Callithrix jacchus: one gene and its partners. The protein of the gene in region 1 purifies or fractionates together with the protein of each later gene. This does not show direct contact. Links are inferred from orthologs where the notes say so. Each region holds a gene or a part of one and is shown on either strand. Other genes may lie near its edges.

Region 1 (7,872 bases):
ATTTTCTCACCCTTTTTCGTCTATCACCAAATCCTTTCACCCTCACTCACTTTTTACACTCGGTAGACACTAACAGAATTCACAGCGTAAAAGATTGAAATGGGATTTAGAAATGGCCCGTGGAAGGCTATTAAAAATTTATATATTTAAATGAAATGTCTTATAGGTCATTTAAAAACCATATTCGTTAAAAAACAAAACAAAAAATTAAAAACCACATCTGGGGCATGTTCTGAGAAAAGACATGACTTTACTTTCTGATTAAATTCTGATATGTCCAATTCTTCCAAAGTTCCCTTGGGAAAATGCAGTAATGGCTACTCTAAAGAATTCCATGTTATGCACATAGCTTTGGAAGCATACTCTAATGTAGGGTAGCTAGAATATTGAGGTTCTGGCTACTGTTTGGAAAAAAGAGGATTGTGTTTCTTTCATTTTTTAACTCATTATTTTATATATTTTAAGTAATGGAACCATAAAAAATTATCTTGTAAGTCAAAACCATGCAAGATACAGTCTGTTCTTGTTTATCTGTACCCACCGAGGGTTTAATTAACATAGACAGTTAAACTCTAAATGAGCAAGGGTAGAACCACTAACCTGCAGTCTGATGCTGAGCAGCATCTTGCCTGGAGATGGAATCAGGGCTCACTCCAACTGCCCTTCTAGTGACAGATTCCATTTCTAATTTGAGAGTTGAGATCTTATTTCTGTTGCCTTATCTCTGGCCTAAGTAATGTAGCTGGAAGGGAAACTCATTAGGAATAGCATACCACCTTCATTGTTGAAATAGTAGAAGGTTTTGAGCTGGATGTGATGGCATGTACCTGTAGTCCGTACTACTCAGGAGGCTGAGTCAGGAGGATCGCTTCAGCTTGGGAGTTGGAGACCATCCTGGGCAACAAAGACCCCAGTCTTTAAAAAAAACAAACAAAAAAGCTGACCAGGCATGTTGGCTCACACCTGTAATGCCAGCACTTTGGGAGGCTGAGGTGGAAAGATTGGTTGAGGCCAGGATTTTGAGAGGAGCTTGGGCAACAAAACAAGACCCTGTCTCTACAAAAATTTTTTAAAATATTAGCCAGTCATGTGGCATGCCTGTAGTCCCATCTACTCAGGAGGCTGAGGTGGGAGGATCCCTTGAGCTCAGGAGTTTACGGCTGCAGTGAGCTATGATTTTACCACTGCATTCTAGCCTGGGTGACAGAGTGACACCCGAACTCAAAAAAAAAAAAAAAAAAAAAAGAAAAGAAAACTAATTATGTTTTGAAGGAGGAATTGGCAGTCAAGAATAGTGGTCAGGGACATGGATTATGAAGTTAGACTGTTGGGGTCACATGGTGGTTTACCTCTTACTGGCTGAGACCTCTGATAAGTTCTTTAACTTCTCTGATTTGATAGATATCTGTAAATGTTTACTTTCACAGATGAGAACACTTATCTAAAAGGGCTGATATGGGGATTCTGTGAAACCGTATGTCTAAGGTACTTTCTACAGGGTCATAGTAAATACTGAAAAATTATTAATTATTCTTCATACTATTATTATTAGATGTCACATAGATATTCGATGAATGAAAGGAATTAGCCAACAAGAATTTATTGAATGCTTGTCTTTGTTAAGGAGAAAGGACAAAAATAAGCAGTCAGTATCATCATGTAAGATGTGCTAGTAGGTAGAGAGATTATATGAAACATTGATAAGAGTAGACTACAGTTTAGCAAAGTTACTGCCATTAAATTGTATAATATTATCTTTGGGTTTTTAATATTTTTGTTGTTATGCTTATGCTGTTTTCCCAAACAGCTTTAGCTATTACATTTACTTTCCTTTGCAGGAGTGTTTTGCTGCTCTAAAGTATATTTGACTCACCATGCAAGCAAATATTTCTCACTGTGTGGTAGCCTTATTTTTCAATGACCATGAAAAAGATAATGATACATTTAAATTCGAAATATAATTTCTTTCTAAGGTAAAATAAGATCTCAAGATATTTAGTAATGTTCTCTTTTACAATAGTGCTATAATGTGTAAACTATTGAAACAAGTGTTTACTGAATTAATATGATTTATAAGTATATGCCAATTATATGATTATTTTCATTTGATAGGGTTGAGTTTGAAGAAACTGAAGAACCTGATTTTACAGCGTTATGTCAGAAATTAAAGATACCAGATCATGTCAGAGAGAGAGCTTGGTTAACTTGGGAGAAAGTTTCATCTGTGGATGGAGTATTGGTAAGGATTTTCTTAAAACATTCTGAATTTTTTTTCTCATTTAAAAAACAACTTCAAATCACTATACGAAAATTGAAAGATAGAAAAATATAAAGACAATAAAAGCTAATTATAATTCCATTACTCAGAGGATATTTACCTCTTGTAACATTAAAAATGTTTGGAAAAAATCTCGCTATATATGCCTCCCACCAAACTATTTTAATGCAGGTCTTAGTTATATTTTATTCACTATAATACAAGGACTTTTTAAAAAAAACCACCATACCTTATAAAATAATTTGTATACCTTCTAATATGCAGTCACTGTTCAGATTTCCTAATTGTCTTATAATTAATTTTGTTAGAATTCAGGATCTTGAAAATATTTTGATATATTCTTTTCATTTTTTCTTTGCATATGTATATATGTGTATGTTTAATAACAGCAGCAAAAAATTACCAGTATTTTATATGTACTGGGGGAATAGTATAAGAACTTTACATAGCTGGGTGTGGGGGTGCATGCCTGTAATCCCAGCTACTTGGGAGGCTGAGGTGGGAGGATTACTTGAACCTGGGAGGCGGAGGTTATAGTGAGCCAAGATCACACCACTGCACTGCAGCCTGGGCAACAAAGCAAGACCCTGTTGCCAAAAAATAAAAAAATAAGTCTGGACACAGTGGCTCAAACCTATAATCCCAGTACTTTGGGAGGTCGAGGTGGGTGATCACTTGAGGAGTTCAAGACCAGCCTGGCCAACATGGTGAAACCCCATCTCTACTAAAAATACAAAAAATAGCCAGGTATCGTGGTGGATGCCTGTAATCCCGGCTACTTGGGAGGTTGAGGCAGGAGAGTTGCTTGAACCTGCGAAGCAAAGGTTGCAGTGAGGCAAGATAATGCCACTGCACTCCAGACTGGGCAACAAAGCAAGACTCTATCTCAAAAAGGAAAAAAAAAAGAACTTTAGAAATATACAGATAACTCATTTTAAGACCATTGATATATGAAATATAAAATCTCTATTTTATGTGAAATCTTCATTTTAAAGATGAAGACACCAAAGTAGAGTGCGGTTGAGTAACTTGACCCTAGAAAAATAAGAACCTTGTCCCTAGAAAATAAGATCTCAAATATAAATTTGAGATTATATATAGTTATGTATAATTACGTGTAGTTACATAGTTTTGTATTTTCTTGTTTTTTCCTAATATGACCATTTTCTTATGTTATTAAATTTTTTTTCTAATATAGTTTCTAGTGAGAGTATTATATTTTAGCTATTGGATGTATTTTAATTTGTTAACTCTCACCATTATTGGACATTTGGGCTTTTTCCAACTTTTTGATGCTGTAAAATAATGTAATAAACTATGTATTCATAAGAGTAATGCTTGGTACAAAGTGAGTCCTTGATAATTTGTTAAATAAATTAATGAATGAATATCTGATTATTTTATTAGAATAAATTCTTTTAAGTTGAATTACTGCATCAAAAGCTATGAACTCTTGATGATTATTGCTAGATTACATTTCAGACAGATACTTTTAATGAATTTACCGTCTCAGTATAGTAGTGTAAGAGTATCTGTTTTTACTGATCAGATTAACAGAGCAAAATGTGTTTATTTATGTCCTATAAGAAAACTGTTTAAAACCATTAAAAAAAAATCTCTGGCAGTAAAAAAGAGAAAACAACTGTTGTAATTTCCAAAGAATTGAACATAGTCTTATACTTCTTATCTAAAAAGAGAGGATTACTGAGTATCTTGAATGTATGACTTGGGTGTTATAATCCCCAGGCATCTAATTTATATTTTAACTGACTTGGGAACTTCATGTACAAAGCTGTTTTTGTGCATATACAGTTAAACGGATCAGAGCGCCTTCACTTTTCTCTTCCTAAAATAATAGATTTTTAGTGTTCAGAAATTTTGGAAGGGATGGCTGATTATAGAGAGTATTAGTGTATATACATACTATAGTTTTCAATTTATAAGTGCATTGTGTTCCAAATCTGTTTGCAAGTGTGATATTGTAGTTAGGTTTCCAGCCTAGTTCACATAACTTATTTTTTTGTACTGAACTATAACAATAAAAGTTTTAACAGTAAAATCTTTTTTGAGCTTCAGATTTGAAAAAAAAAATATATATATATGCAAATGTTACTGTTTTATTGCCCTTTTTAAATCCCGGCTTTGTCTCTACCTTCCCTGGGAACTAGCCCAGTTTAAATCTTATTTTCTAATGGAGCTTGTGATGGGGACTAGGATGTGTGAAATTATTTATGGCTAGGTACTGGAGGAAGGTAAGAAAGGAATTTCATGTTACTTTTGGGATTTGAGGTATGCTTTTGAAGGGTATGGCAGAAGATGATGTCCTTGAAATATGATTTTAAGTGCAGTTAAGTTTTTGAGCGTTGGCCTGAGAATTTAACCTTCAAAAAGGAAACCCTTTTGACAGTAGAAAGTAGGTGATGTTTATTGGGATAGAGGATGGATGGGTTAAGAGTAAGGATTAAGAGTCAAGCAGATATACCACTTACTAGCTCCATGATCCTGAACATGTTACTTACAGTTTTCAAGCCTTAGTTTTCTTATCTGTAAAAGGAACTGACAATAATTTCTGGATCTTGGGGAGTTACTGTGCAGATTAAATAAATTAATGCATATAAAGCTCTTGTTAGAGTCAACGAATGTGTATGTTAGGTATGGCAAACAGAATAATTTTACTTAAGAATTGCCCTGGAACATTTTATCATTAATGTACTTTTTTTTAAGGAGAACTTAGGGTATTAGTTAAAATGGTTAAAAATTTAAATGCATTGTAGCTATTTTGATGTAGTATGGTTGTTAAAATTCTTATTTTTAAGTACTTTAGGGTCAGAAAACTTGTTTATGCATACATAAAACATGCTTACAGCTGGTTAGTGAGATTATCCTCTTCTGTAGAATCCCAGAAGTCTAACAGCCTTTCTTCATTTTGTCTGTTTTTTTCCCCTTTAGTCTAAGCTGACAGCATTTCTGCTGAATTGGGAGATTAGATCTATGAGTCCAAAACCTATAATTTCTTTGTCAAATTGTCTATCCTTGATGTTCTTTTGAAAACACACTTTCTCATTTTTTTGTGATATGGATAGGTTGATATTTTCCAAGTCTTCAAGTGTTGGTACCTGTTTGCTTAACAATTCTTTTTAAAATATCTATCCTTGGCCAAGCGCAGTGGCTCACGCCTGTAATCGCAGCACTTTGGGAGGCTGAGGTGGGCTGATCACCTGAGGTCAGGAATTTGAGACCAGCCTGGCCAATGTGGTGAAACCCCATCTCTACTAAAAACACAAAAATTAGCTGGGCTAGGTGGTGGGTGCCTGTAATCCCAGCTACGCAGGAGGCTGAGGCAAGAGAATCATTTGAACCTGGGAGGTGGAGGTTGCAGCGAACCAAGATCGCCTCATTGGACTTCAGCCTGGGCAACAAGAGCAAAACTCTGTCACACACACACACACCAAAAAAACCCACCTCTGTCCTCACATTTTACTGTAAGCAGAAGAAATCAGACTTTACTTTCAACACATAGTTCAGAAGTCTCAGTTAAATATCCAACTTCATCACAAACTCTACCTTCCACAAAATACTAGAACACAATTCAGCCAATTTGTTTTCCTTTTTTAAACCCAGATCACCTTTTCTCCAGTGTCCAATAATATGTTCCTCATTTCTACCAGATACCTCACCGGAAGGATCTTTAATGTTCATATTTCTACCAAGAGCCTCTCTGCAAGGCAGTCTAGGCTTTTTCCAACATGTACATTGAAACTTTTCCAGCCTCTACCATTATGCATTTCCAAAGCCACTTCTAAGTTTTTTTTACAGCAGCACCCTACTTCCTAGTACCCAAATCTGTCTTTGTCTACTAGGACTGCCATAACAAAATACCACAGACTAGGTGACTTAGATTGTCCATATCTTTAATGATTTTCTTTCTTTGCGTTTTACTGGTTATTGAGAAAGAAATATGAAGTCTCCAACTGTAATTAGAATGGTCTTTTAAAATTCTGTTTTCTATTAATAAATTTTTTTTTTTTTTTTTGGGGACGAAATCTCAACGTCGGCCAGGCTGGAGTGCAATGGTGCCATCTCAGCTCACTGCAACCTCTGCCTCCTGGGTTCAAGTGATTCTCCTGCCTTAGCCTCCTGAGTAGCTGGGATTATATATAGGTGTGCACCATCACGCCAGGCTAATTTTTGTATTTTTAGTAGAGACATGGGGTTTCACCATGTCAGTCAGGCTGATGTTGAACTCCTGACCTCATGATCCACCTGCCTTGGTCTCCCAAATTGCTGGGAGCTACCACATCCAGCCTTTATTGATGTATTTTAAAGCTTTATTCTTGGGTGCATACAAGTTTAGAATTTTTATGCCTTTTAGGTAAATTGGTACCTTTATCATTATGTAATGTGCTTTTTTAATCCATATTTTTATCTTTTGTTCTGCAATGTTCACATATCCATTCCACTTTTCTTATGATCAATCTTTACATTGTATATCTTTTACCTTCATTTTGATTTTAACATATTTCTTTTTTATATTTAAATGGATTTGTTGTTGTTTTGTAATCAGCATTCATTAAAAATTTAACTGAATTCTTTTTACTTTTGTTAGGGTTCCCTGTGTCTCTTCCTTTCATGCTGTGCCACAGACGAACCATTATTCATATATATTCTCTCATTGGAGGTTCCTTTTTATAGGTGAAACTAAATAATTTGAAATATAAAGAAAGGATATGTTAAGTTCAAGAAAGGGTATGTTTTTATTCCTTATCCGGCTTGTTCTTGTACGGGTGGAAGCAATACTCTTTGCAGCTTTCTGCAATCTAGGAAGAAGTGGAATTTTACATTATCATTTGCTTTCCTTACAGGTTTACCTTAGTAATTTGTTTACTGAGTTCTATCCACAGGACTAATTGAAACTATACCATACTCCTTCCATTTTAAACCTATCCATTCAGTCTCAAATTATCTTTTTGCATTACCTCTCACATCTGTCCCTTCCTTTCTCTTACCAGCAGTGCTTTGTTTTTAGTTTGCTTTGGCTTTAATTTCCTCTTTATTTTTTTAAATTTCAGAAGGTGGAAGCTTATGTCATTGACTGAAGCATTTTTATTGCATGTTTTAGTGCCTCTTTCTGACTAGTCCCTTGTTTTCTCCATCCAATCCATCCTGGTGCCTGATTTTTTGAAAAGACTGGTTTACTGTTTGCCCCTTTTGCTTTGAAATTTATTTTTTATTGTCACAATCCACTCTTCAGTAGCCTCTATTGTAATACCCACCTGTGTTCCCACCACCCATTATGAAGAAATAAAGTCCAAACTGTCCTAGTATTTGTAGTTCTCCATAGACTGTACTTTAACCTTCCTTCCAGTCTTATTTTTTTATTTCCATTGATGGCTCCCAATACCTGTGTCCTCCTCCTTTAGTATTCATATTCAGGCTAACTCCCCCTTTTTGGAATACCATTTTTTTTTCCTCCCTTTAGCCTAAATTCTGTTTTTAAGGTGCAGTTAAAGCTGCTTCTTTATGTAAGTCTCTTGTAAGTTATATTATTTGCAGACATTTCCCCCCATTCTGTGAGTTACCTTTTCACTTTCTTG
Region 2 (7,872 bases), on another chromosome or scaffold:
AGAGTTCACCAATTCAAATAACCATTTGGCAGCTGATTCGGTAGGTAGACCATGAACCTGCCGTTGATTTTGATGGATGATGCTACTTTCTTTGTGTTAGCCGTGTAATAGATTTGAGGAATCAGATAAGCGAGGTGAATGACTATACTTTAGAGTTTCATCCTGTATTTGGGGGGATTTTTTTGTTGTTGTTGAGTTTTATTTTGTAGGGAATTCTTTTTTTAGGCGGAGTCTCACTCTGTTGCCCAGGCTGGAGTGCAGTGGCACAATCTCAGCTCACTGCAACTTCACCTCCTGGATTTAAACGATTTTGCTGCCTCAGCCTCCTGAGTAGCTTGAATTACAAGCACCTGCCACCACGCCCAGCTAATTTTTGTATTTTTAGTAGAGACAGGATTTCACCATGTTGGCCAAGGCTGGTCATGAACTCCTGACCTCAAGTGATCCACCCGCCTCAGCCTCCCAGAGTGCTGGAATTACAGGCATGAGCTACTGCGCCTGGCCACCAGTAATTTTTTTATGTTTCTGAATCTTATTGTTTCTTCAGTGTCTAAGTCAACAAAAAAATTTTATTTTTAATTGGAAAAGGAATACAGAAATATGTTTATTAAAAATTCAGTTGCAGCCGGCCGTGGTGGCTCACACCTGTAATCCAAGCACTTTGGAGGCAAAGGCGGGCAGATCACGTGAGGTTGGGAGTTCAAGATTAGCGTGACCAACATGGTGAAACCTCATCTTTAAAAAAGAAAAAAAAGATAAAAATTCAGTTGTCTGGCAGAGTCTCAAATAAATGCAGTGCAGTGGTGTAATTTTGGCTCACTGAACACTGCCTCCTAGGTTTGAGTGATTCTTGTGCCTCAGCCTCCTGAGTAACAGGGAACAAAAATGGCAAGGCTCTGCCTCTACAGAGAGAAAATTTATTTATTTAATTTTTTTTTTATGAGATAGGGTTCTCACTATGTTGCCACAGGCTGATTTTGAACTCCTGAACTCAAATGATCCTCCAGCCTCAGCCTCCCAAAGTGCTGGCATCACAGGCATGAGTCACCATGCCCGACCTCTACAAAAAAAAAAATTTTTTTTTAATTAGCCAGATGTGGTGGCACAAACCTGTAGTCTCAGCTACTCCAGAGGCTGAGGAGGATTGTTTGAGCCCAGGGATTCAATCATGCATTACAGCCTGGGTGACAAAGCAAGACTTAATCTCTTTAAAAAAGTGTGTGTGTGTGTGTGTGTGTCTATGTGTCTATGACTTATACTCTTGAGCACTGATTTAGCCCTTGATTCTGATATATCGTTCTTTAAATATTCTGTAATTTTGGATTGAATTTGTTCTTTGATCTAAGAATTGCCTTAGAAAGAGTTCTTATAGTTACAAATGTTTTTCTTTTCTTTTTTTGCTTATTTGTTGCCTTAAAGTTTTACTTTTCATACTTAATTTGACCAGATAATATGATTTGAACTATTTCCCTTTTCTGTGGATTATATTTTTTCCTTGGGAGCCATGATATAGTGATTTTCTTTCCTTTTAATGTTCTCTAACCACTTGAAAAAGAAAAATATAGGGCCGGGCACGGTGGCTCAAGCCTGTAATCCCAGCACTTTGGGAGGCTGAGGCGGGTGAATCATGAGGTCAAGAGATTGAGACCATCCTGGTCAACATGGTGAAACCCCATCTCTACTAAAAATACAAAAAAATTAGCTGGGCATGGTGGCACGTGCCTTTAATCCCAGCTACTCAGGAGGCTGAGGCAGGAGAATTGCCTGAACCCAGGAGGCGGAGGTTGCGGTGAGCCGAGATCGCACCATTGCACTCCAGCCTGGGTAGCAAAAGTGAAACTCTGTCTCAAAAAAAAAAAAAGAAAAGTATATAGCATTCTGTTTCTGAGTGAAAGCCTTGGTTCTAACAATGAGCTACAAGCTGCTTTGTGATCTTGCCCACCATTACCTCACTAATCTTGTCCTCTCCTGTGCACTTTCTCATTTACTATCCTCCAGCCACATGTCACTACGCTCCAGCTACATGTTTTGTTCCTGATCGGGCCATTGCACTTGCTGTTTCCTTTGCCTAGAGCACTCTGTGCTATGTATCCATATGGCTTCTCCCTCCATGCCCTGTGATCTCCACTCACCTGTCACCACAATGAAGCATTTCTTCTTAGTACTTTTCAACATATAAAATACATTTTTATTAATACCCGAACACCACCACCTTCCCAGGATACAAACAAAGGTTGAGTTTTTCCCCTCTTTGTTCACTGCTTTGTGATTTTTCTGATGATTTAGGGTGCTTGTAGTCTCTAGTTCTTCAGTTGGTTACCTTTATAACTTAAGTTCCTTGAGTTATCACCTGTAGACAGTGTCTATTGGTTATGAAGAAAAATGTATGTTTATTTTTATCTTCCATTTTTCTCTTCTACCATAAGATTCAGATTAGATATTTTAGTATATTTGTTAAAAGAATAAGAATACTATTACAGGCCAGGCACAGTGGTTCACGCGTATAATCCCAGCACTTTGGGAGGCCGAGGCAGGTGGATCAATCACAAGGTCAAAAGTTTGACACCAGCCTGGCCAACATGGTGGTACGCACCTATAATTTCAGCTACTCGGGAGGCTGAGGCAGGAGAATCATTTGAACCCAGGAGGCAGAGTTTGCAGTGAGCCTAGATGGTGCCATGCACTCCAGCCTGGTGACAGAGCAAGACTCTGTCTCGGAAAAACAATAATAATACTATTAGAATTGTTTGTATTACTTTAAATCAACAGATCGTGCTGAACCTTTTATAATTATTTAATCTGCTTTGAACAATATCCGTATCCCTTCCAGTATCAAAAAGAGGAAATTGGCATACCTACTGCATTTCCTCCTCCTGGTACTTCTTATAGTATCATTTTTTTCTATAATGTCAATATTTCCTTTTTTTTTTTTTTTTTTTTAAGATGGAGTCTTACTCTGTCACCCAGGCTGGAGTGCAGTGGCGCAATCTCGGCTCATTGCAATTTCACCTCCTGGATTCAAGCAATTCTCCTGCCTCAGCCTCCCTAGTAGCTGGGATAATAGGCGCATGCCACCATGCCAAGCTAGGTTTTGTATTTTTTCTTCGCTATGTTGGTGAGGCTTGGTCTTGAACTCATGACCTCAGATGATCTGCCCGCCTCAGCCTCTCCAAGTGCTGGGATTACAAGCATAAGCCACTGCTCCCAGCCCAGTGTCAAAATGTCTAGTATATTCAGTTCTATAACTTAAATCTCCCACTTATTTAGATCTAGTTTTATATTTAGGTGGATTCAGTGTTCTCCTCCATCCTTTGTTATCATTACATTTCATGAGGACTTTGTTCCACAATGTAAACCAACAGTTTCCTTCATTGAGTAAGTCTTGCTATCAAGAAAAGAAGAAAAAAAGAAAGAAAAGGTCAGCTGAACTGAATGGTGTCCCTTGTGACATAGAGGATTATATTTTGGTGCAAGTTCTGAGTCTCATTGTAAATTGGAAACAGTTTGCAGATCAGCAGTGTTCAAGGAACACATTTTGAGAAGCACAGTTTTGTCCAGAATTTGAATAAGTGTCCTTGATTTTTTTAAAGTCTAAAATCCTCTCAGACAATGCAAGGCCTTAGAATACTTTACCTCCAATACCTTTTTCAGTTAATATATATGCTATTTGTAGTCATGTATATTAAGTTCTGTATTTATTCTAGACTCCATAAGACATGATTATTGTTTTATACCGTGAGAACTGAGATTTACCCACATACTTAACTTTTGAGTTGGTCTTCATTCTATCCTTCATCTCTAAGCTCCCATCTTAGATGATATTTCTTTACCTGAAGTAATCCCTTAAGTATATTTCAGTGTAGATCTGTGGGTAACATGATCTTTATTTTTAAGATTATTTTGTTTTATATTGTTTGAAAGTATTTTCAAACAATATTATTTCATCTTTAATTTTGAAGGATATTTTCACAGAATATAAAATTCTTTTGGATGTCTTCGTCAATTAGCTAAATAAAAAAATAGAATTATTCCAGCACTTTGAAGATGTAGTATTAATTTGATATGTTAATATCATGTGACTTAACCCTTAAAATTTATCACTCAATAAAATACTTTTTAGCAGGCTTACGATCAGAAGAACATTAGGCGAAGAGTTTATGATGCTTTAAATGTACTAATGGCAATGAACATAATTTCAAAGGAAAAAAAAGAAATTAAGTGGATTGGCCTACCTACCAATTCTGCTCAGGAATGTCAGAATCTGGAGGTAAGTGAGAAAATCTGTTTATGAATAGCTGTTTGCATTATTTTACATCAGAGGCATTTTAATTTAAAAATATGCTCATGTAATATAAAATTTTCAACTGTTCATGTATACTATGTCATTTTTTAACAGACTATAGAATTTTAGAATTGGTATATTCTACAGTTTAATTGGTAAATGATGAAACAGAGAGATATAAAAGTTAAATAACAATTTGATTTTTCTGTTTCTTAGAGAAGATTTTTATTTTATTCGAATTTAATCCTGAGTGCTCTACTAGTACACTTTTTTTAATGAGATGCTGGCTGTATGTATAAAAAAAAAATGGATCAAGCTGGCTGTTTATTTCCTTTATTGGTTACACAATATTCTGACTACAGCTATGAAAGTCAGACTTTTGCATTTGACTTTAGAACTAGTAGCAACAGAATAAATGGCGTTTCATTTGTGTCTTTGCCAGAATTGATAGAATTTTTGAATGATGTGTGCAGAAGCATTTTAAATTCTGTTAACTTTAAACATTATAGGAAGTTCTCCCTAAATGAACATGTTCCCTGACATACTGTTTCTAAATTGACTTTACATAATTTTGCTATCATGGCCATAAATGGAGTAAACTGAGGTTAAATATGGCACGGTGGCTTAAGCCTGTAATCCCAGCGCTTTGGGAGGCCAAGGCGGGAGGATCACCTGAGGTCAGGAGTTCAAAACCAGCCTGGCCAACATGATGAAACCCCTCCTCTACTAAAAATACAAAAATTAGCTGGGCATAGTGGTGTACACCTGTAATCCCAGCTATTCAGAAGGCTGAGGCAGGAAAATAACTTGAACCTGGGAGGCGGAGGTTATAGTGAACCAAGATCGTGCCATTGCACTCCAGCCTGGGTGACAACAGCAAGACTCCATCTCAAAAAAAAAAAATAATTATTATTATATAGCTTTGGGAGATCATTAAGATTGATTTCCTGTTTTTCTCAGTCTTTTTTCCCCCCAGCAAATAAGTTATTTAGTATTATACTTCTGGATGGAGAAAGAAACCAGAGATTCATCAGAAGCTAAAGAATATTTTTTATATGCTAGAGTGGAAATAACCTTTTCTTGTTTTTCTTCCTTGTGATAGAGTGGAATTTGAGCATCATTTTCATGATCAGTAATACTGAGCTAATACTACAGACTCATTAAGCAAAAAAACCTATTCACATCTACCTTGTGCTTAACCACAGGTTATACAAGGCAAATCTCTGACACCAAGAAACTGTCATTCCAACTGGGGAGAAGAGAAATGTAAAAGAGTTACTAAAAATGTGATTATTCCTGTAAAAGAAATGTACAGATTCTCTGCAAAGAGGGATGAGGGAGGGCTTTACCAAGGAAATAATACATGAGCTCAGGCATGAGATGGGAGTAGTTTGCCAAGTGGATAAGGGTGGGGAGGGCCTTCCAGGCAAAGGTGCTACATGGACTGAGATAGGCATGAAAAAGCATACCTGGACCTGGGTGTGGCCAGGGAACAGGCATGGAGAAAGGGGGACAGATAGCTAAGTGTTAAGCAGTGGGGGCCTGATCCTGTAAACAATGGGAAGCAGTTGATAAATTACAAAGAGAAGGGTTGATAGGATGTTTTTTAAAGGATCACTCTGCCAGTGGGTTGAAAGTAAAATTAATAGGTAGATAGGGAAGGAAATGGAATGAAGGAGGGGAATTTAGATAGTCTGAGTTACAGCAGTGGCCATGAGATTGGAGAGGTGTTTTAGAGGTGGAATCAGTGCAGCTTGACCTGGTTGGATGAGGGACAGGTAGGGGGGCCTGGCTTGTCAGAGCTTCTGATGCAAGGGATGCTCCTACAACATCTTTTCAAATGCAGAACACCACACAAATTTTCCAGTGAATCTTAATTTAGGAGTAAAGCATGGTAGTGGATAGAGGAACCATGAATGGAAACTCCTAGTACACACTAGACTGGATGGGAGCAAGCAAAGAGATTATCTGCTGGAGCAGAGAGAAAAATGTTTCATTTCATGATTGAAAGACAAAATGGTAACAAATTTAAAGATTCTATTTAATTGGCTTTTATTTGTGATTCTAGAATCTTGTAACACCTCATTATTAAGTAGAAAGAGTGTTCCTCCGATAAGCTGAGCAGAAGAGGTTAACGTTCTTCAGTGGTTTGTTGTTGGGTTTTTTTTTTTTTGTTTTTTTTTTTTTTTGGAGACGGAGTTTCTCTCTTGTTACCCAGGCTGGAGTGCAATGGCACGATCTCGACTCACCGCAAGCTCCGCCTCCTGGGTTCAGGTAATTCTCCTGCCTCAGCCTCCTGAGTAGCTGGGATTACAGGCCACCATGTCCAGCTAATTTTTTCTTTTTGTATTTTTAATAGAGACGGGGTTTCACCATGTTGACCAGGATGGTCTCGATCTCTTGACCTCATGATCTACCCACCTCAGCCTCCCAAAGTGCTGGGATTACAGGCGTGAGCCACCATGCCTGGCCATAGTGTTTTAAGATAGAGAAGCAGCAAAGGTGGATAGACACAGAAACAGAACAAAAAGCAGATTGGACATTTCAATGTCACTTTCCTTGTAAGGTTAAAACAGAGAAGACTCTCTTACCATGCCAGCTAAAACTGGCGTGTTGGGGTAGTTCGCTATTCTCTCTTTCTCTCCTGATTTCCTAGGTCAGATAAACAACTTAGTTTTGGCATGGAACTTCAGCATGAGTGACTCTATTTTAGTTTGTTCTGTTGGGCCTAGTGCAGGAGCTCAGTCCCAACCAATGGGCTCCCATAAATTTTCCTAACAGATGTCATTGGCTTTGCCCAAGGAGACATTGAGGAACTCAGCTGCAAGGAAGTTCAGACCCTAATGTCTGTTTTCTCAAAGTAGTTATCAGATTGAGAGAGAGGAAAAAAAAGCAGTTGTTTGAAGCTGGAAAATTTGTCTATCAAGCATATTTCTTTTCTTTTCTCCTCCCCCCTCCCCTCTTTTTTTGAGACAGAGTCTTGCTCTGTCGCCCAGGCTGGAGTGCAGTGGCGCAATCTCGACTCACTGCAACCTCCATCTGCTGGGTTCAAGCGTTTCTTGCGTCTCAGACTCCCAAGTAGCTGGGACTGCAGACACACGCCACCATACCTGACTTAATTTTGTATTTTTTGTAGAGGTGGGGTTTCACTGGATTGGCCAGGCTGGTCCCAAACTACTGATCTTAAGTGCATTCGCCCTCCTCAGCCTCCTGAAGTGCTGGGATTATAGGTGTGAGCCACAGCGCCTGGCCTAGCATGTTTCTTATTACAAGTAGGAATTGTATATTGAATGTGTGAGATAGCTATTATCAGCTGTACTCATTGGAAAGTCAGCTAAACTGAAACCAAAATAAGATCTTGCCTTGTTCTTTGAGGAGTAATATAGCAAAGTAATTAATATAGAGTCCCTGTTGTAACCAGAGGGCTTAGGTTCAAATCTTGGCTCTGGCTATTCACTAGCTGTGTGACCTTGGAAATGGAGCCCTCTATGCGTATAAAATGCATACTTTTGTGTTGGCAGACAGAGTAAGGATAATCTAAGTGGTATTATTACTTTGATTAGAACTTGAATAATAATTGCAACAAGTAC
Region 3 (7,872 bases), on another chromosome or scaffold:
AGGAAATGGAAAAGAATATATACTGCAAAGAGCTTCCTTTGCTCTTTGCAGAGTGGGAAGGAAAACTTAGACGTACTTTCCTAGTGTTCTCCTCCCATGTCCTTTCCCCATCTCATTGGGGGGAAAAATAAGACAAAAATTCTTCAACAAAGGCTTTTCTCTTCAAACTTTTTTTTTTTTTTAAATATGGTGTCTCGCTCTGTCGCCCAGGCTGGAGTGCAGTGGCGCCATCTCGGGTCACTGCAACCTCCACCACCTGGTTTCAAGCAATTCCCTTTCTCAGCCTCCCAAGTAGCTGGGATTACAGGCGCCCACTGCTACGCCCAGCTAATTTTTGTATTTTTAGTAGCATGGGGTTTCACCATCTTGGCCAGGCTGGTTTTGAATTCCTGACCTCGGGATCCAACCGCCTCGGCCTCCCAAAGTGCTGGGATTACAGACGTGAGCCACCGCTCCTGGTCTTTTCAAGCCTTTTTCGTTTCCCTCTCTGATGAGCTGTGCAGTGTCACTCAAAGGAGTGTGCTCAAGTGTCTCTGATGATCCACCAAGACAGTTCACAGCTTTGCTCCTCACTTCAGCTGGTTTTCAAAAATGCTGCAAGGAAACGTTCTCTGCCAACAGCAAATGCCCGAAGCCACTCCCTGAGTGGGTGAAGGAGCCGTTTTCCCCAAATCATTATTTTATTCTGTAAACCAGCCAGAATGTCTTTTAAAATATGTTACCTAATAACAATACAAGGTTTTGTTTCTTGACTAGGCTTGTGGTTCCAATACAGACAGTTCCAGTCACCTTCATTTTTAACATAGTTTCCAAAAGACAAAAGTGGAATTCTTCTTACCTTTGGAAGTGGGTTTAGGGATATTCCCATTGTGGTCTTGGTTGCTTGTTTTCATTGGACTGTGTGTTTCAGTCTCTTCTGGACATAAGTAAACCTCAATGGGCCCTTGGGTACTTGCCAAATGTATTTGTAGGCTCTAGAACAGAAGTGGGAGAAGTTTGAATCAGAAGTTCTTTTAGAAATAAAAGCCATAGTAATTTTCATCTAAAAATGGAAAGTAAGAACAACGTTCATTGTTCACTTGCTTCTTCTCTGCTAGTCCAACTCTATCAAAGACTGTCATCTTCTAGCGCAGGGGTCAGCAAACCATAGCCTAAGGGCCAAATCCAGTTCACCCACTGGGTTTGTAAATAAAGTTTTATTGGAAGAGAGTCACACCCATTTCCATTGTTTATTATTGCCTCTGGCTGTTTTCATATTACAATGGCAGAGGTGCACAGCTGAATAGTGTGCAGACCGTAAGGCTCACAAAGCAAAAGATATTTACAATCTACCTGGCACTTTAATTAAAAAGTTTGCTGAGTCTTGCTCTAGAGAAAGAAAATTTTTTTGTGGGGAGCAGGGAGTCAGTCTGAAAATGGCACAATGGGTGAGGTGAATTGTGTTCTTTGGATATATTCTTTTTCTGTAAATTATTAAAAGGTCTTTTAAATGTTCCAAATCCAGTATTTCCATGTTATTGTTCCTTTATGGTAGGACTTCTTCATGTTGAACTGTAATAACCAAGTGATGTATTCTTAAGTGCTAGGAACTGCATCTATGAAGAGAATGCAGCACACTAACATTTAAAAATCTTTTTCATCTAGGTCAAAGAGCTATTATTATCTTTTAAGGCAAGAAGTCTACCCTGGATGGAAGCATGTAACTTTCATTCTCTTTTTATCTCCTATGCATTTTCTTTTTACTACATCTCTTTATGTCATACTTGTAGTCTAGGCTCTATTATCCAAGTATATCTGAAAATCGTAAAACTATGCCCCCTACTTTCTTACAATATTCTGGTCTATCAACTAACCCAAAGCCCCGTTTGATCTCTTAAAATGTTATAAGTTAGAGAGAGACTTTAAAACATTTATATATCTGTTCGTGGTGCAAACCATATACAGGATAATCCATATAAACTTTTCAAAGTGGTTCAAGTTGATCAAAACCACCTGATGATGAATTATGAGAAAGAGAGAGTACAAGAGGGACAGGGCATCATATTCCACTTTGCACTGAACATCCCGCTAGGTCACAGTTAGATTGTCTGCATACTCAATGGATATCAAACTGTTAAAATGTTTTTAAGCGTATGATTAAATGAAATGAATTGGAAAGAACCATCAAGTTCTTGGGGTAGGGGGACAGACTTTAACTATGAGTCAATGACTCTTCAATTTCAGGCATTCCAAAAGATCTCCGCAGATGAACAAAGATGCTGTCTCCTTACCTCTATTGAGTCAGGCACTTCAAGTCTTGTTTCTGGAGGGGCTTTCACAACTATAACAGTTTGGTCTTTAAGGCCACTAATTTTTCGAATATCTTGATATGTAACATAAGCTAACGTAAAGAGTGTCAAGGAATCTTCCATCTAATGACCTCAGATATAAGTAAGATGAAAATGACAAAATAGATGCATAGAATATTTCAAAGTATTTTATGACTTAAAAGTATACATATGTCTTCCCTTCTGGACCTGGAAGTGCTTAGGGCCTCCCATGAAACTTCTTTTCTGGTTGACACTCTAAGCAACTAAAGAAATGAACAGCTTTATCCCACCCATTTCTTTCTTTTTTTTTTTTTTTTTGAGATGGAATTTTGCTCTTGTTGCCCAGGCTGGAGTGCAATGGCAGGATCTCGGCTCACTGCAACCTCCGCCTCACAGGTTCAAGTGATTCTTCTGCCTCAGCCTCCCAAGTAGCTGGGATTACAGGCACGCACCACCATGCCCAGCTAATTCTGTATTTTCAGTAGAGACAGGGGTTTTTCTGTATTGGTCAGGCTGGTCTCGAACTCTCAACCTCAGCTGATCTGCCCAACTCGGCCTCCCAAAGTGTTAAGAATATGGGTGTGAGCCACTGTGCCCGGCCTATCCCACCCATTTCTAAAAAGACTGTGGCTATTTAAAATATTAAACACACAAACAGAATAGTTAAAATAAATGATCATATGAAAATCAAAAACCACTTAGGTGAGAACTTTTATCTTGAAGCCACAGTACTTGGCAGCACAGATATTCGATGAACGCCAATCAAGTGTTCTGTTACTCAAACTGAATGATGGCAGATTTCAATTTGCAGGGAAAAAAAAGTTAATCTCTATTAGCCGTAATTTTTTTGAAACTCCAGTTACTTCTATCTGTAAGCAAGTGTCAGCAGCCACCAAACAAATAAATAAGTAACAGATATGTTAGTGGAAGAACTCAGATACTGCTCAGGCAGACAGCTTGTTTTCTTAAGTGTTCCAGGGCTGCTTGTGATTTTGTATTGCTTACAAAGAGCGTCATTATTTCTGTTAGAAAAATCATCCTTTGGTACTATGCTGACTCCATCAATATTTCAGCGTTCACGGGGAAGAAAACAGTTTCCAGGTGCTCTGCGAAACACTGATGTAGGAAGTAACTACCAGGAGTACTGAGATAGTATTCTTTTTTTTTTTTTATTTTAAAATATAATTTCTTTTTTCTTTTTTTTTCTTTTTTATTGCATTTTAGGTTTTGGGGTACATGTGCAGAACATCCAAGACAGTTGCATAGGTACACACATGGCAGTGAGTTTTGCTTCCTTTCTCCCCTTCACCCATATTTGGCATTTCTCCCCAGGCTATCCCTCCCCAGCTGGCCCTCCCCTTTTCCCCCCAATAGACCCCAGTGTTTAGTACTCCCCTCCCTGTGTCCATGTGTTCTCATTTTTCATCACCCGCCTGAGTGACAATATGCGGTATTTCATTTTCTGTTCTTGTGTCAGTTTGCTGAGAATGATGTTCTCCAGATTCATCCATGTCCCTACAAACGACACGAACTCATCATTTCTGATTGCTGCATAATATTCCATGGTGTATATGTGCCACATTTTCCCAGTCCAGTCTATCATCAATGGGCATTTGGGTTGGTTCCAGGTCTTTGCTATTGTAAACAGTGCTGCAATGAACATTCGTGTGCGTGTGTCCTTATAGTAGAACGATTTATAGTCCTTTGGATAGTATTCTTTCCTCTTTAGAAACACTGATTTAGGAAAAGAGAAAAGAATACTATCTCAGTACTCTTGGTAGTTACTTCTTTTTTCTTTTTGAGACAGAGTCTTGCTCTGTCACCCAGGCTGGAGTGCAGTGGCGGAATCTCAGCTCACTGCAACTTCCACCTCCCATATTCAAGCTATTCTTGTGCCTCAGCTTGCCTCCTGAGCAGCTGGGACGAGAGGTACGCACCACCACACCTGACTAATTTTTTGTATTTTAAAAGAGATGGTGTTTCAGCATTTTGCTCAGGCTGGTCTTAAACTCTTGGCCTCAAGTGATCCCTGCCTCCAGCCTCCCCAAGTGCTGGGATTACAGGTGTGAGCCACTGTGCCTGGCCTTGGCAGTTTTTCTCTAAGCACTGAACAATTCTTTAAAATGTCCTGGCAGCCAAGTCTAAAGGCTATCATGAAAGAACATGGTACTTATGATATGCCAAAAGTATTGAAGTGAGCTTGACACTTGGCACTAAAAAAGAAAAGTCTGCATGGCTTTCTTAAATAAGGGACATGGAGTAAACAATTAATGGACAGTGTCTTTAGCCAGTTATTATTTTTTATATGAACGAAAAATTCCTAACACAACAAGTAACAAACCAACGAAGGCATTTCAGCAGCTAGTATAATGTATATAATAGCTGAGAGTCTGTGATCTAATATGCTTAATATTTTTTTAAAGGGGGCGGGGCTTAGAGAGCCTAGAAGAAATTACGTCCCTTACAATAGTAGCTCTTTTTTGTTTGAGATGGAGTCCCACTCTGTCACCCAGACTGGAGTGCAGTGGCTCCGTCTCAGCTCACTGCCACCTCTGTCTCCCAGGTTCAAGCGAATTACGTGCCTCAGCCTCCCAAGAAGCTGGGATTACAGGCGCCTGCCACCGTGCCTGGCTAATTTTCTGTATTTTTAGTAGAGACGGGGTTTCACCATGTTGGCCAAGCTGGTCTTGAACTCCTGACCTTGAGTGATCCGTCCGCCTCAGCCTCCCAAAGTTCTGGGATCACAGGGGTGAGCCACCATGCCCAGCTATAGTAGCTTCTTATTAGAAACTGAAGGCAGCTATGAAACTACTCCTCTAGGAAAAAAAGCACATTCACACAAAAGCTGCATACACATGTAGAGCATCTATCAGACCATCTCCTTCAAATCTTTGTTGTTGAGTTGATGGCTAGTTCAGTGTTGAGCTGATAGTGGCTGCTCTTGCAGGATTCTGGATTTTAGGTCACTACATATACCATCAAAGAAGCCAACGGATGCCTTTATAGAGGGCCAGGCAGTTCTAAATTTTACTGACAATCAGGTACTTACACTACAGCCCACTGTCAAAAAAGCGGTATGACAAGAACTTAGTGAAATAAAAACTCATCGCTTCTCGGCCTTTTGGCTAAGATCGAGTGTCATAGAAAAACTCATCTACAATTACTCAACATGCTGCAGGAAGGAAAATTTCAACACATTTGTGAACAAGCTGTACCGATTTGGGAACTGAATGGTGAATTGAAATACATTGTGCAAATATATTTTCTAATCTTACAAACTTAAAAGTGCTTCCTTTGCGGCTCCCTCCCAAATTTACTCCTTAGGTTCTAAGTTCCCTGCAAGGAAGCTTTCATTTTCTGTAACAAAGGCCCCAGAGAAAGCTAATATAGGTGACAATGCCATAGGCCACATGTCCCGGAAGGCTGCCAGTCACGTGTAACCACCCGTCTCTTCCACAATGGGGCTCCTAACCAAACAGTGAATATAACAGCCCAACCGTTGGTTTCTTCCCCTATAAACCCACTTTGCCCACCACTGGGGGTCCGAATCACTACACCTCTCTTCCATCTCACTAATTATTGGCTGACAAGGTTAATTCTTTGGTCAACAGGAAATCAACAACTGCAGCTTTGAAAAACTGCCAACATTGGAAGAAAATAAATACCTGCATATCCTCCAAGGGGGAGCCTGTAAAAGATGAACCACTAGAAGAATCTGGGCAGAACGCAACTTTTGTCAAATAATGGCAAATGTGGGATCATGGGAACTTTGGAACTAAATCTAGGGATGCGATAACCTCTAGTATTGTCTTTTGCCTTCTAATAACGGAGAATGCTGGCGAGTCTTCTTGTTTGACATAATGAGGCGATCTCTCCCTCGTTTGACATAACGAGGTGATCTCTCTCTTGTTTCGTCTGTAGTCAGGTGATAAAGAGCAAGTTTTCCTGAGATCATCAACAGATTGTCCGGAAGCTGAGAACAAGAACTGACCTTGTGTATTTTATTTCCAAGGACTCATGTTCGGAGTGGAACAGATGAATTGAAAGGAGTTTCTCAGGTCTTGGGGGGTGCTTCTGAAATCAATTTTTTGTACTGGGAATCGGCAGAGTACACTTTAAGAGTTACAGTATAATTGTTCTCTACTCTTTCGAACCCTTTATAGCCCAATCAGATAGATTCAACCAATTTCAATTGCTACAGTATCTGGCGAAAAGAAAATAGAATGTGAGAACCCCAACAGTGACAGCTAACACCCACCAAAAATCTGGGAAGCCAAAGACGAATCTGCTTAGTGTTGTCATTAATATTGATACCGACGACACCTTATGCATCTTTTAATAGTGTGGCCTTACGCTATGAGTCTACCCATATGTCGCAAACACACGTGAAAAAAACGCTTTAAAAAACAGTTCCCACCTGGTATCAAAATAGATCATAACAGGATCGAGTTGGTGACGACCTTACCATACATAGTGACTTTTTAGGCAAAGCGAACTTGGTTTGCACACACGTGCATACACACACATGCAGGCACACGTGTTCTCATTTGCGTGACTGAATCGAAGTAACAATCTCCCTCGTGCATAAAAGTCAGATTGTCCACTCTGGAAATAGTCTAGGAAGCACTAACCCCCAGTGAACCGGTGGCACAAAGGATATCTTTGATTCTCTGAATCCTCGGTTAACAGTTTGAGGTCCAGGGTGCAGCTTTGGATCAGTTCATCTAATTTCTTCTCTTCCTGACTGAGCTCGGTCACTTCTTTTGACAGGCCTTGACACTGGGCCAGCATGCCCCCATCCTCAGACAGACTGCAGCCCCTAGAAGCCCAAACACAGACTGTTCATGGCTACTCATGGGAGGGAGGGGAAGGAGAAATGGTCCTTTGGGTAAATGTCTCCTCTCGACACAGGAGGTCGCATTGCTTGTTAGCCAAGTGTTAAATTTACGACATGTAAACATATATATATTTTCTCGTAAATATAGTCCTGCACTTTCCACAGCATAGAAATTGAGTGAAAGACCACTGCTATTTTCAGCGTTCTTTCCTCCAGGGGAGGCCTATGTCTTCAGAAGGTTCAAATTCAGAGGGCAAAAGAAGGCAACCACCTGCCTCCCCGCCCCCTGGCTCCCAGGTGGAAGGGGGAAGAAAAGGGAAAGAGGATAAAAAGATAAAGACAGGGAAGATGGAGTGATTAAAAAAAAAAATCCAAAAAAGCATGAAAAACCCAGGTAATTACTGAGGGTCTTATACCAACAACTAAAAAGGAAGTAAAGGAAACAGATGTATGCGAGAACTGAGACCAGAACCCAATATGTTTCCGTAAACCAGAGGCCAAAACGGGTTCCCAAACCGTCACAAAGTTCCGAAAAGCGCAAGAAAGGTACCTGCGCATCTTCTATCTGAATTAGTATTTTTTCAAAGCCCTCCTATAACAGAATTATTCCTTCCAAAATACTTTAATAGTTCAATACTGTGCTTACAATTGCTGCCAATTTAGATGCTCTAAAATTCACAATATATTACCATATATGTGATCATACGTGTGGGCGTACAAGTATCA

Evidence for each region.
Region 2: the proteins of RB1 (region 1) and TFDP2 purify together in Homo sapiens (affinity purification with mass spectrometry; 4 studies listed by BioGRID and IntAct, counting the BioPlex papers as one, with this or other methods). This does not show direct contact. The link is inferred for Callithrix jacchus from reciprocal best matches to the Homo sapiens genes RB1 and TFDP2.
Region 3: the proteins of RB1 (region 1) and E2F3 purify together in Homo sapiens (affinity purification with western blotting; 9 studies listed by BioGRID and IntAct, with this or other methods). This does not show direct contact. The link is inferred for Callithrix jacchus from reciprocal best matches to the Homo sapiens genes RB1 and E2F3.

The regions. Positions count from the first base shown.
Region 1 is NC_133502.1:67,632,456-67,640,327, reverse strand, and holds part of RB1 (retinoblastoma-associated protein), read left to right. Parts: intron 1-2,112; coding exon 2,113-2,239; intron 2,240-7,872. UniProt on the Homo sapiens protein: Tumor suppressor that is a key regulator of the G1/S transition of the cell cycle. The hypophosphorylated form binds transcription regulators of the E2F family, preventing transcription of E2F-responsive genes.
Region 2 is NC_133518.1:42,563,600-42,571,471, forward strand, and holds part of TFDP2 (transcription factor Dp-2), read left to right. Parts: coding exon 1-40; intron 41-4,120; coding exon 4,121-4,267; intron 4,268-7,872. UniProt on the Homo sapiens protein: Can stimulate E2F-dependent transcription.
Region 3 is NC_133505.1:10,300,834-10,308,705, forward strand, and holds part of E2F3 (transcription factor E2F3), read right to left. Parts: intron 7,129-7,872; coding exon 6,970-7,128; intron 2,386-6,969; coding exon 2,271-2,385; intron 975-2,270; coding exon 839-974; intron 1-838.